Linked DNA regions of Ovis aries. The protein of the gene in region 1 interacts with the protein of each later gene in a pairwise test. Links are inferred from orthologs where the notes say so. Each region holds a gene or a part of one and is shown in the gene's direction. Other genes may lie near its edges. The genes, in order: AIRIM, PPP1R12C and MEOX2.

Region 1 (3,744 bases):
TTAGATAAAACACCACCCCCCTCAAAAAAAGAGTATTTCATGACACATGGAATCTGAAATCTGTCAAATTCACATTTCAGTGTTTCCATAAATAGATTTCTGTTGGAAAACAGCTATGCCCATTCATTACAGCTGTTTTTGAACTATAACAGCATGAGTAGTTTGGACAGAGAACCTTCTGGCCTACAAAGCCTAAAATACTTATTATCTCCTCCTTTAGAGAAAATATTTGCCTGCCTGCAGAGGAAGATGAGGGAAAGTGCTAAGAAGAAAAGCAGGGAGGTGAGACGGATCGGGGAGGAGTAGGCCTGCAATTTCCTTCTAAGACCTCATTGAGAAGATAAAAGCTGCCATGGTAACCACAGAAGGGCTCCAGGCCGAGGCCTGGGGAAAGACCAGGAGCTCTTACCGAAGTATTCGAGCCAGTTCATTTCGCGCAGCGCCTTGGGGAGTCGCAGGATCTCAATGTTGTACAGGTTATCCAACTCTTTGAGGAGGTTCTGCCTGTCTGACTGAATTTGCTTGGATCGCATTTGCACTGCGAGAGGGCAGAGAGGACACGGCACGGGTCACCCCGCGGGGAAAAGGTTCCCGGAATCCCTGCTGCCCGCGTCCCAGTCCTCCAGCACCCCGCGATTGCCCCCAAGTGACCGCGACCACCCGGGCTCCGCCCCTCACCTTCACGGTCGAAGTCCTTAAGAAAGGAGGCGAGCTTTCGGTTCCGCAGCACATTGGTCTTAGCCACCCGACTGCCGCCCTTCCTAGACGGAGCCATGGCCCTTCGATGGAGGCTGCGGGGAGCTAGGGGCGGAGGCACAAGGCGTCAGCGGCGGAGATGGTGAAGGAGAGGGGGCCGCAAGGGGGCGAGGGAGGGTGGAGGGCCCCCCTGGGGGTTTGAATTGGGGACCCCTGCCCTTCCGGGCCCGAGGAATAAAGGATTCGCGAGGCACCCACCTGCAGGTTCTGAAACCCGGGCTGAGGAAAAACCCGGCTGCTTCAGCCGAGAAGGAGCCGCTCCGGGACGAAAGCGACGTGAGACCGCCGCCACCAAATTCAAACTGCCAAAGGCTGGCCAATAAAAAGCCGCCGTCTTAGGAGGGTTTCACAACAGCCAATCACAGAGAAGCTTCGCAATTGGGCAGCCAGTCCACACGTAAACTACAGCACCCAGAAGGCATTGCGGTCCGACCGCATCTTTTTCGCGACTCTGTAACCACGTCTGGGCATGCGCAGAGACACAGCGGAGGTGTGCGGAGTCTTGGAATTTCCTTAAAGTGTTATTGCTTTAGTTTTGTTTTCCCGCTGGTTTAGAAGAGCGGCCGGAAACCTCAAGTAGAGGAGATAAGATTCTGGCTCCGGAAGCACGGATCGGCCCAGTGAACCTTCAGTCTGAAACTGCCCTAAGCCAAGGGGTAGGTTGAGCCTCTCTGAAGGTAAGACTCGCGCTAGAAACACCTGTCGGGAGGGATGGACGGCCCTACATGAGCAAACTTTGTTTAGCTGGACCTCTCTGAGAACGGAAATAACTCCCACCCTTGACTCGGCCCTTTGCCTGTCGACTTGGGACCCTAATGATATTTGTTTTTTCCTGGGTTTTGTTTTTGTTTTCACCCCTACAATAGAAGATGACTGAAGATCAGCCTTTGCTTGCCGTGCAGGAGGCCCTGAGGAAGTGCTTTCCTGTGGTGGACGAGCAGCAGGGCCTGTGGCAGAGTGCTCTGAGAGACTGCCCGCCCCTCCTGGCCTCCCTCAGCAACCTGGCAGAGCAGCTGCAAGCCACACAGAACCTGCGATTTGAGGATGTGCCCTCACTTCGGGCCTTCCCAGACCTAAAGGAGCGGCTGAGGCGCAAGCAGCTGGCGGCTGGTGACACTATCCTGGACAAGCTAGGAGAGAGGCTGTAAGAGGCACAGTGGCGCTCTTTCTTGGCCTAGAGATGTTAAAACTGGGTATTTAATAATCTAGGATCAGTGAGAAAGGGGGTTTTTCTCCTTAAGAGAATGGTATTTGGGGATGTGACAGCCTTACCCCCTTTCCATCTGTTGCAGTGGGACCTCTCTCTGTCAAAAAACCATTTTCTGGCATTTCCCTTATCAGCTAGGCATGACAGTGGTGGACTTAGTAAAAGTTACCAAAGCAGAACAGAAAAGCAATGGAGAAAGCTCATTGACCCTCCACTGTAGTTTTCCTTAGGTAGAAAGCAGCAGGAGTTACACTGTAAACTTAGTAGGTGCCAGCAGCAAGGATTTTACATACATTATCTCATAAAATCTTTTCAACAACTGTGACTTAACCTCACTTAATCCCATTTTTCAAGTGAGGAAACTGAGGCTCACGCAAATTGCCTGTGCTCAGGCAGTTAGTAAATAGTAAAGCTGGGATGCTCATCCGAGTGCCTCTGGCACTGGGGCCAGAAGCTCCTAACCACCGCTTTGTTCTGCTGTACATTGGTGTCTGAGCGAGGAGAAGCACCAATGTTAGGCCTTCGATCTTAGAATTACAGGTAATTGGGGATAGAGAAGAGAGAAGGCACATATGGCCTTCCCTTAACCAGGATGAAAGAAGGTTCTAGTGTGTAGGGTTTGCCATAGACTGATAGGAAACTCAAAGATGGGGGCCTTCTTTGTATTTATCTGTACTAAAAACATTAAGAACCCATGGGATGCAAAACACAGGTGCTAGGAATACAATGGAGAAGGCAATGGCACCCGACTCCAGTACTGTTGCCTGGAAAATCCCATGGATGGAAGAGCCTGGTAGGCTGCGATCCATGGGGTCTCAAAGAGTCGGACATGACTGAGTGACTTCACTTTCACTTTTCACTTTCATGCATTGGAGAAGGAAATGGCAACCCACTCCAGTGTTCTTGCCTGGAGAATCCCAGGGACAGGGGAGCCTGGTGGGCTGCCGTCTATGGGGTCGCACAGAGTTGGATACGACTGAAGCGACTTAGCAGCAGCAGCAGCAGCAGCAGCAGCAGGAATACAATAGTAAGGCCGACTTAGTTCCTAAGTTGAGTAAAAGAGTCAGTTAAGTTAGGTCATTATACATTCTAAGGTAGCGAACTTTTATTTCAGTTGATTACATGTTTTTATGTGGGTATTGGGCTGTTATTTTTAGCCTAGTTTTTATTGTGAGTCACAGTCAAACTTGAAAGCTGCAGTTCTAGGCTAGGGAGTTCCTTGCCCTTTGGGAAGTTGTAGCCTTCGTCTTATGGCTAGACCTCTTGGAGTCACTAATGGAATAATAACTTTTAAAATAATTATATAATAATTTTTAAAATAATCATGTAAAAATAATAAAATTTGCCATAAGCTAGGTACTTCCCTAATGGCTTAATATGCATTATTGTATTTACTCTTCACAACAGTCCTTTTCATTCACTGGACAAATGTTTGTTGCTTTGTCGGCCAGTCTCAGTGTTTTAGGTACTTAGGATGCACAGTGAACAAAAGAGACTTGTTTTTGTTCGTGATTGAGAATAAGTAACTTTCCTGAGATCGACAATAATCTGTGTGCGTCAAGAGCTCAAATTTTACCCATTCAGGAATTCACGAGGGTGGGGCACGATATAGCATGAGCGCAAGACTGCTCTATTGCTGTAGTTTCCTCTTGCTAATTCCTTTCACATATGTGGCCTTAGACTATGTGTGAACATTTCCTCTCCTTTATGGGAGTCCCAGAAAGCCTGCTTGGTCTTTACTATCTTTGGCAGCTGGGCCCATCACACAGCTTTTGAGAGTG
Region 2 (3,644 bases), on another chromosome or scaffold:
CTGGGGCCCAGGACGCAGACATCTTTCGCACGGATGCCTGTGCCCGGCCAGGTCCTTGAAAGGGAAAGGCCTGTCTCCCTCCTTGCCCCCCCCCCCCATCACCATGGCAACTGGTGGAAATAAACGGTGCCCAGAGTTCATCCCGTTCCCAGGGCATGTGTGGCCCCCCTTTCGCAGCCTGAGTTTCCATGACTTCATGCTCTTGGCCCTCGTAGCTTCCTCCCCTTGCTCCAGGCGGCCGGCCGTGGAGAGGTGAGGGAGTCGGAGACTGATCTCCCCTGAGGACCCAGGAGGCCAGGTCCACTCCCGTTCCTCAGCCCTGCTCAGGCCCAGTGCCCGCCGCGTGTTTGCACGCGCCCTGGGCAAAACCCTTTCTCTGGCCCAGCCTGCTGCGCTAGCGCGGGCAGGGGCTTTGGTCTCCTGGGGCTGGGATCTCTTCCTCCATCAGAGGGGATCCTCACAGCCCTCAGTGGGGAAGGTGCCCGTGGACGCCCATGATGGGGGGCCCTGTGCCTCTCCTCGGGCCCAGGCCTGGGCACACCCTCTCTCAGCCGCCTCTCCCAGTGTCGGGGTCCTGCCCAGGGCCCTCACCACCGCCCCGCCCCACTCCCAGGTTCGCAGGGGCCTGGGGACCCCGCATGGCCTTGGGCCCCAGGGTCCGGCTGTCTCCCTACCAGGGACACGGCAGGGTGGTGGTCAGCTCTCCTGGAGAGTCTGCTGGGTCTGAGGAGGAGGGCCTGGGTCTCTTCCCTTGGGTTCAGCTCTGGGGGCCCATCCTCCATGGTGACTGGGGTGCGTCTCGTGAACAAGCATGGTTCAGGATCCCTACAGCTCCTCTCCTCTCTGGCCAGCTCCTCCTCTCACGGTCCCCAGTGAGCCCCAGAGGCCTGCCTGGCGTGGCCACCGGGAAGCCAGGCTGCGCAGGGCTGGGGGTGCCCTGCGGACATGGTGCCTTCCAGGGACCTTGGGGTCTTCCTCTGGAGCTTTGCTCGGTCGGCCCTGGGTCCCCCTCGAGGCCCTGGCGGGGTCCTGCCTTGCAAGGCACGCGGAGGGGTCCGGGGTGGTGAGGGTGACCCCCGACCATGCCCCCCAGGCCTGCATCGACGAGAACCTTGAGGTGGTGCGCTTCCTGGTGGAGCAGGGTGCCACAGTGAACCAGGCGGACAACGAGGGCTGGACGCCCCTCCACGTGGCCGCCTCCTGCGGTTACCTGGACATTGCCAGGTGAGGTGGGGAGGGTGGGCGGCCCGCTGGGCATGCGGCCCGGATGCCTCCGTCCTGACCGCGGCCCGCCCCTACCTCCCCAGGTACCTCCTGAGCCATGGAGCTAACATCGCTGCGGTCAACAGCGACGGGGACCTGCCTCTGGACCTGGCTGAGTCCGACGCCATGGAGGCGCTGCTGAAGGCGGAGATCGCCCGCCGAGGTGGGCCTGGGGCGGGGTGCGGGGCTCGTTGCCAAGGGCCCGGACCCCAGGGTCTCAGTGTGGCCTGGACCGTTTAACCCGAGAAGTCATTGAGGCAGGGCTTGGCTCGTTCTCGGGGTGACTGAGGAAACTGAGTTTGGCGCTTGTCCCGGGTGATGGTGGGTCTTCTCAGGAGTTGTGCTGCGGGGTGGGGGGCAGTGGAGGAATGCCGAGTCTTCTGGGGGTCTGGTCTGCAGTACTCGGGATCACTGCGCCCCAGGGTCCTTAACGGGGCCCAGGACCCCCTAAGCTCTGTGCCTGGCCACGCTCAGTTTTCTAGGGGGAGCCTGTGTGACTGCTGGCAGGTCCCCACCTTCCCGCGCTCCCTCTCAGTCGCTGATGAACAGACCATGGGGAGGGCTCGCCGGCTGCCCTGCGGTGGAGGGCCGGGGGCCGCGGGTGGGAGACAGGGAGCAGCCTCGCCCCGTCACCAGGGTGGGCCGCGGGTGGGAGACAGGGAGCAGCCTCGCCCCGTCACCAGCGTGGCTTCTGGGTGGCCGTCTGCTCCCCCGAGCGGGTCTGGTGACCGCACTGCATCTGTGAGGAGGTGTGAGCGCGGGGCCGAGGGGTCTGGAGGGCCGCGGGCGAGGTGCAGGGAGGCTGCTGAAGAACGGCTGGCTGTCCGAGGCGATCCCCAGCTTGGCTGGGGTTGGGAGGGACGAGGCTCCGCCCTGGGCAGGTGGTGTGCCGGTGGCCGCAGGAGTCCCTCGAGGCTCCGCTGGTGGGCCAGCCGAGGTCCAGAGCCCTGGCTTGCTTCAGATGTAGGGAGCGAAGTGAAGTGGAGACAGAACCGGGCTTTTCCTGCCTCCGCGTCTCCACGTTTTCACCTGGACGACTTCGCACGCTGAGCCAGGTTTCACTGGCCGTCCGAGGAGGGCCGCCCCCGCTGAGGCTCACCGGGGCTTTCGGCAGCTCCGTGTAGGTGCAGTCGTCTGCGTGCGTGCTTCCTTCACTCTTCAGACACGCGTGGGCTCGTGTTTTACAGCCTTATGTGTCCGTGAGCACGTTGAGTTTGGATGATTCTGATCAGCCCCAAAGAAACCTCCCCACCCTCCCCTTCCCCCTCAGCCCTGGGGGCCACCCATGGGCTTCGTGTGGGGGGTTTGCCTGTCCTGGGCATTTTCCGTGAGTGGAATCCTGAAGTGTGGACTCCGAGTTTCCAGCTTCTTGGCGTGATTGCTTGTGCGCCTCCCTCTCTGCGGGGATGGGCCTGCCCAGGTTCCCTCCCCCGGCCCCGCCGCCGGCACAGGACCAGCCTTCACCCCTCCCCTGTTCACACGGCCCCTCAGCCTGGACCTGACTGCTCGTCAGTTCTGCAGGTTTGGCAGGAACTTGCCAGCAAGTTCTGCGGGGAGACGAATTCCGTCCGCCCTCTCACTGGTGATGTTAACCTTGAGCCTCATTCAGAGGACGCCCAGGTGACTCTGCCGTCAAGGCATCTTCTTCCCTTTGTTGCTAAAAAGCAGCCTGCAGGGCGATGCTTGGAGGCCACTGGGGCTGGGTGATCTCTCAGGCCTCTCAATTCCTGCTGGAATTGCCCAGAGCTCTCATCACCTTCTCACGAGAGCCGAAGGTCGCCGGGGGTTGGCTTGCAGGACCGACCAGGCCCAAAGGCCTGTGATGCTACTGGGAAGACCGTCCGCTGCACTGCTGCGGGTGGGGCACAGCTGCCTCTGAAACCCGGAGGCTTCAGTGACGTGGCTCCACGGTGCCTGTCCTGACGTGAGGCCTCAGTGGACTGTGCTGGGCAGAATCTGTGCTTTACCACAGTTTTAAGAGGAGGACAATCCGTGGGCCTCTGTAACTGAAGTCTAGGAGTTATGTGGACTTCAGGCATGGCCTGATCCAGGGGCGCAGACACGGTCGGAAGCCTTCCTCCCATCTCTCTGCTGAGCTCTGTGTTGGCTTCCCTCCTAGGCCGGCTCTCTCGGTGAGGCACTTAGCCTGGCTCCCAGCAGTGCAGGCTGACCCCCTGGCGGAACTAGAGCTAGACTTCTCAGCAGCTCCAGCCCCAGCCCTCTGCCCTAGGGCCGCCCTGGTCACAGCCTGCCCTGAGCCAGTCGTGTGGCAAGGAGGACGGTCAGGCCTGGCGACGCAGCTGCCCATGGAGCTGGGCTGTGGGCCCCTCACGTTGGAGCCACGTCGGGTGAGAGCAGGGGTGAGGACAAGCAGGGAGGGG
Region 3 (3,744 bases), on another chromosome or scaffold:
TCCCGGGAGGGATAGGTGAGCGCCGATATTCTCCTGATGCGACAAGTCCTAGGCAAGGCTCAACTGTTCCCGCAGCTCATTATGCTCGGCCAGCGTGCGTGCCTTGTGTAAACGACTTGGCCCCTAGCAGACAGTGTCGCCCTTTAAGCATGTGGTAGTATGAAAGCCCAGCCGTCGCTCGCATTAATTCACTGGTGGCAAGTTTTCTAAGTCATTTTCTAGGATGCAAAATTGTAACCAGGGAGATCCGAACTTTAAGCGATACCAAAGTGTAATATTTGTTTGGTAAATGGAACCATGGCGGCGTGGGAGTGAAAGGGGTGCAATGAGCTGATTGATTTTTTTGAGCGGAAGAGAGATGGATTTCTGGAGGGAAACGAGGTGACAGGGGGCTGGCTCCTGAGGGAGAGTACTGGAAATGTACATTCAATATACACATCGCTTGTGACTAGGGTGAAATCGCTTTAGAATACTCCTGATCCAGGAAAAGTTTTTCTGGGCGGACAAGTGGCAAGGAAATGGAAGTGGGACCCGGAAATCGAGAGCGGTGTGGGGGAGGACATTTGAGGAAAGCAGGGGAAGAGACCCCACCTGGGACCGCAGGTGAGGATGCCAGAAGCAGAGCGTCTGCGACCGTCACGGCCCCATGCTTTCTTCCACCCTATCAAGTCTCGTTCCTTGCGGCCCTTTCTCGCCCGTGGGGAACTTTTCCTGCATCCTCGAATCTGGCGTCTCAGCGCTCTAACAACCCACCCACAGACACCAGCTGTATAAAAAAGCTAGAAACGCCACTGAGCCCATGACACGAGTTGATGCGAATTTGGAAAACCTTAATCTGAGTGCGCGCCAAACTAGCTCTGATTCTTTTCCTTATCCTCCACCTTTCGTGCTTCTCCACATTTAGGCACACCCTGTTTTTCTGCAGGTGACAGTGCCCAAGTGGCATTGACAAGACACCTTTCAGGAGAGAAGTGAGCAGGTGGGACACTGGCTGTGGGGTTGGAGCTGGCGGGCGCCACGGCGCGCCCCGGCCGGCGGAGCGGGAAGGGCAGCCGCTGCCCGCCGGGGCTCTGGTTTAGGCGCCCGGCTTGCCGCTTGCAGTCCAGGCTGTTGGCAGCGGCGGGAGGGCGTGGACGCGCTGCATGCGTCCAGCCGGCGATAGGAAGTGGAACTGGGAGCGCATTGCGCGAACTGAGCGGGAGTTTTGGAGGGAGTTTGCATGTGGTCAGCACTGGGCTCCTAAGCCAGCCCCCAGCTCACATTACACTCTATTTATAACCTCTCAGAGCCGTTTCCCCCTGAAAGCAGTTCTCTGGGACCACCTTCTTTTGGCTTCAACCTCTCCTGCTCTTGACATCTGAGTAGCTCAGAGGGAAGCTTCTCGAGGTCCGAGTGTTTATATGTAAAGGAGACTGGCCGCTAGGGCTCAGGACCAGGATTATCCGAGCTCTGACGAAACGCGGGCGGCTATTGCTTTGGGAGGGGGAAAAGTCACACGGTTTCCAGTGAAAAGTGACAGAGGGTGGTGGCGTTTGGAACCGTCGTGAAGTCTTCTGCCTGGAACCCGAGACTTGCATGCTATGGAACACCCGCTCTTTGGCTGCCTGCGCAGCCCTCACGCCACCGCGCAAGGCTTGCACCCGTTCTCCCAATCCTCTCTCGCCCTCCATGGAAGATCTGACCACATGTCCTACCCCGAGCTCTCCACTTCTTCCTCGTCTTGCATAATCGCGGGATACCCCAACGAGGAGGGCATGTTTGCCAGCCAGCATCACAGGGGGCACCACCACCACCACCACCATCACCACCACCACCACCAGCAGCAGCAGCACCAAGCTCTGCAAACCAACTGGCACCTCCCGCAGATGTCCTCCCCGCCGAGCGCGGCTCGGCACAGCCTCTGCCTCCAGCCGGACTCGGGAGGGCCCCCGGAGCTGGGGAGCAGCCCGCCGGTCCTGTGTTCCAACTCTTCCAGCTTGGGCTCCAGCACCCCGACCGGGGCCGCGTGCCCGCCAGGGGACTACGGCCGCCAGGCGCTGTCACCCGCGGAGGCGGAGAAGAGAAGTGGCAGCAAGAGGAAAAGCGATAGCTCAGGTAAGGGCGCGCCGGGCACCCTCGGCGAAAGGGGGCGGGGAGATGGGAAGATTCTCCTACTAGAGTGAGGCGGCGGGCGTTATGGGACAGGTCTTTTCCTCTCTGGCTCCTCGCCGCCAAATTCGGCGAGGCTGCTTTGGTCCTTTTATTTGGGGGCACGTGTTTCTCCGAGGGCAGCACTGCAGCCAAGTGCGTTAAGCTCTCCAAGATTCAAACTAGTTTACCAGAGGGTTGAGAAAAAAAGGACAAGTGACAAGTATGTGAAATCGATTGCGAAGCGTGACCTTCCATCTGAGCGATGGGGAGAGGAATGCACCCTGGGATGCAGCGTCCGCTGGGCGTGCGTGCGGGTGCCTTTCCTTGACTTTTCCCGACTCTGAATGGCTCGATTTTTCCCATCGTTAACTGGATTTCCAAATTATTGCACAACATTTGGAACTTGCAGTGGAACTTGGCAGAGCACATGAGAAAAAGTTTTAGTTTAGTTTTTTTTTTTTTAATTCTGATTTCAGAGTTCTTTAAATAGCACCCTATTCCAAATGGTAAAATTTCTCTTTCTTGGGGGAAGAAGATATTGTCTAGGAATTCAGAGGATTTTAAGGAATGTGTCAGAGAATGGCAACTAAATATACGCTCAGACCCTTGACGAAAGACGATTCTTTATTGTAGTTGTATTCATGTAATGCTAACCAAAAAGAAAATCTGAGTTTCAAAAGTGGAAAGTAAAATCCTCCTCCAGTTGAGTACTATCCGAAACAAGGATTGGGAAACTTAACAGCAACCAGGGTAGCGCTGCTACAAGTGGGTGTGCGTAGGAGGCGCTGATCTACGCGAGGATATCTTGAACCGCGTAGCGAAAGGGGAATCTTAACCAAACGCGAATGCTTGAAGGCACCCGCAGCCAACTAAACTTTAGCAATCCAGAGAAACTAAAGCTTTGCAGTCAACTGTCAAAGCCCTTACCTGTCTCTGTCCTAAAGAAATTGTTAAAAGATGCTTTATAAGGAGGGTATGAGCTTTCTTCAGTAGCTACGACGCAACCTGCGTCCCATCTTTTTGCAAGCTGTTGTTTATTTAATATAATATTTACGTATTTTCTTTCTTTGCGGCATTGGTTTTAAGAGCCCTGGAAGATAATTCCAGGTACTGATTTGAAAGACTGGATAATGTCTATCCTTTATAATAATTTAGATTAGATTTCACATGAATGACAGTGATTGAGCCGCATATTTCATGTTCTTTTTCAGCAGTGGTATCAATTATTCTTCAGTGAGTACGGAATGGGTTCTTCTATCTCAAACTTAGAATCTCACGTTTACATTCCAACGTCAGGGTGAACTTCTAATGCTCCATCACAAAATAGTTGATATCCAAAAAGGTTGCCAGCAGTATCATTCATTTTTAATGGTTTTTACTAACCCTAAGTGAGACACTCTTCAGACAGAGTGAAAAAGTTAATATAGCAAGAAGGCTTCCATCTTCATTAGAAAACAAGTCATTTTTAGAATGCAGTCATCCTTTTATAGGATCAGCATTTGATATCAATGTAACTTTTCTGGGATTAGATCTGAGTACAGGTTAGCCAGGGACGCTTTTGCAATTTACCAGAGGCTCTTACTATTCCTTGTACTTTCTGCAGTGAGAAACCTA

What was found.
Region 2: the proteins of AIRIM (region 1) and PPP1R12C interact in binary tests that used the Homo sapiens proteins (3 or more experiments, as listed by UniProt). The two-hybrid records come from large-scale screens. The link is inferred for Ovis aries from reciprocal best matches to the Homo sapiens genes AIRIM and PPP1R12C.
Region 3: the proteins of AIRIM (region 1) and MEOX2 interact in binary tests that used the Homo sapiens proteins (3 or more experiments, as listed by UniProt). The two-hybrid records come from large-scale screens. The link is inferred for Ovis aries from reciprocal best matches to the Homo sapiens genes AIRIM and MEOX2.

The regions. Positions count from the first base shown.
Region 1 is NC_056054.1:12,499,703-12,503,446, reverse strand, and holds the start of AIRIM (AFG2-interacting ribosome maturation factor), read left to right. Parts: upstream 1-1,225; 5' UTR 1,226-1,412; exon of another isoform or gene 1,413-1,433; intron 1,434-1,622; 5' UTR 1,623-1,625; coding exon 1,626-1,900; intron 1,901-3,744. Other genes in the region: CDCA8 (borealin), read right to left, coding at 410-538, 679-775. UniProt on the Homo sapiens protein: Part of the 55LCC heterohexameric ATPase complex which is chromatin-associated and promotes replisome proteostasis to maintain replication fork progression and genome stability.
Region 2 is NC_056067.1:63,073,655-63,077,298, forward strand, and holds part of PPP1R12C (protein phosphatase 1 regulatory subunit 12C), read left to right. Parts: intron 1-1,093; coding exon 1,094-1,224; intron 1,225-1,307; coding exon 1,308-1,426; intron 1,427-3,644. UniProt on the Homo sapiens protein: Regulates myosin phosphatase activity.
Region 3 is NC_056057.1:25,059,368-25,063,111, reverse strand, and holds the start of MEOX2 (homeobox protein MOX-2), read left to right. Parts: upstream 1-1,300; 5' UTR 1,301-1,580; coding exon 1,581-2,094; intron 2,095-3,744. UniProt on the Homo sapiens protein: Mesodermal transcription factor that plays a key role in somitogenesis and somitogenesis and limb muscle differentiation. Required during limb development for normal appendicular muscle formation and for the normal regulation of myogenic genes.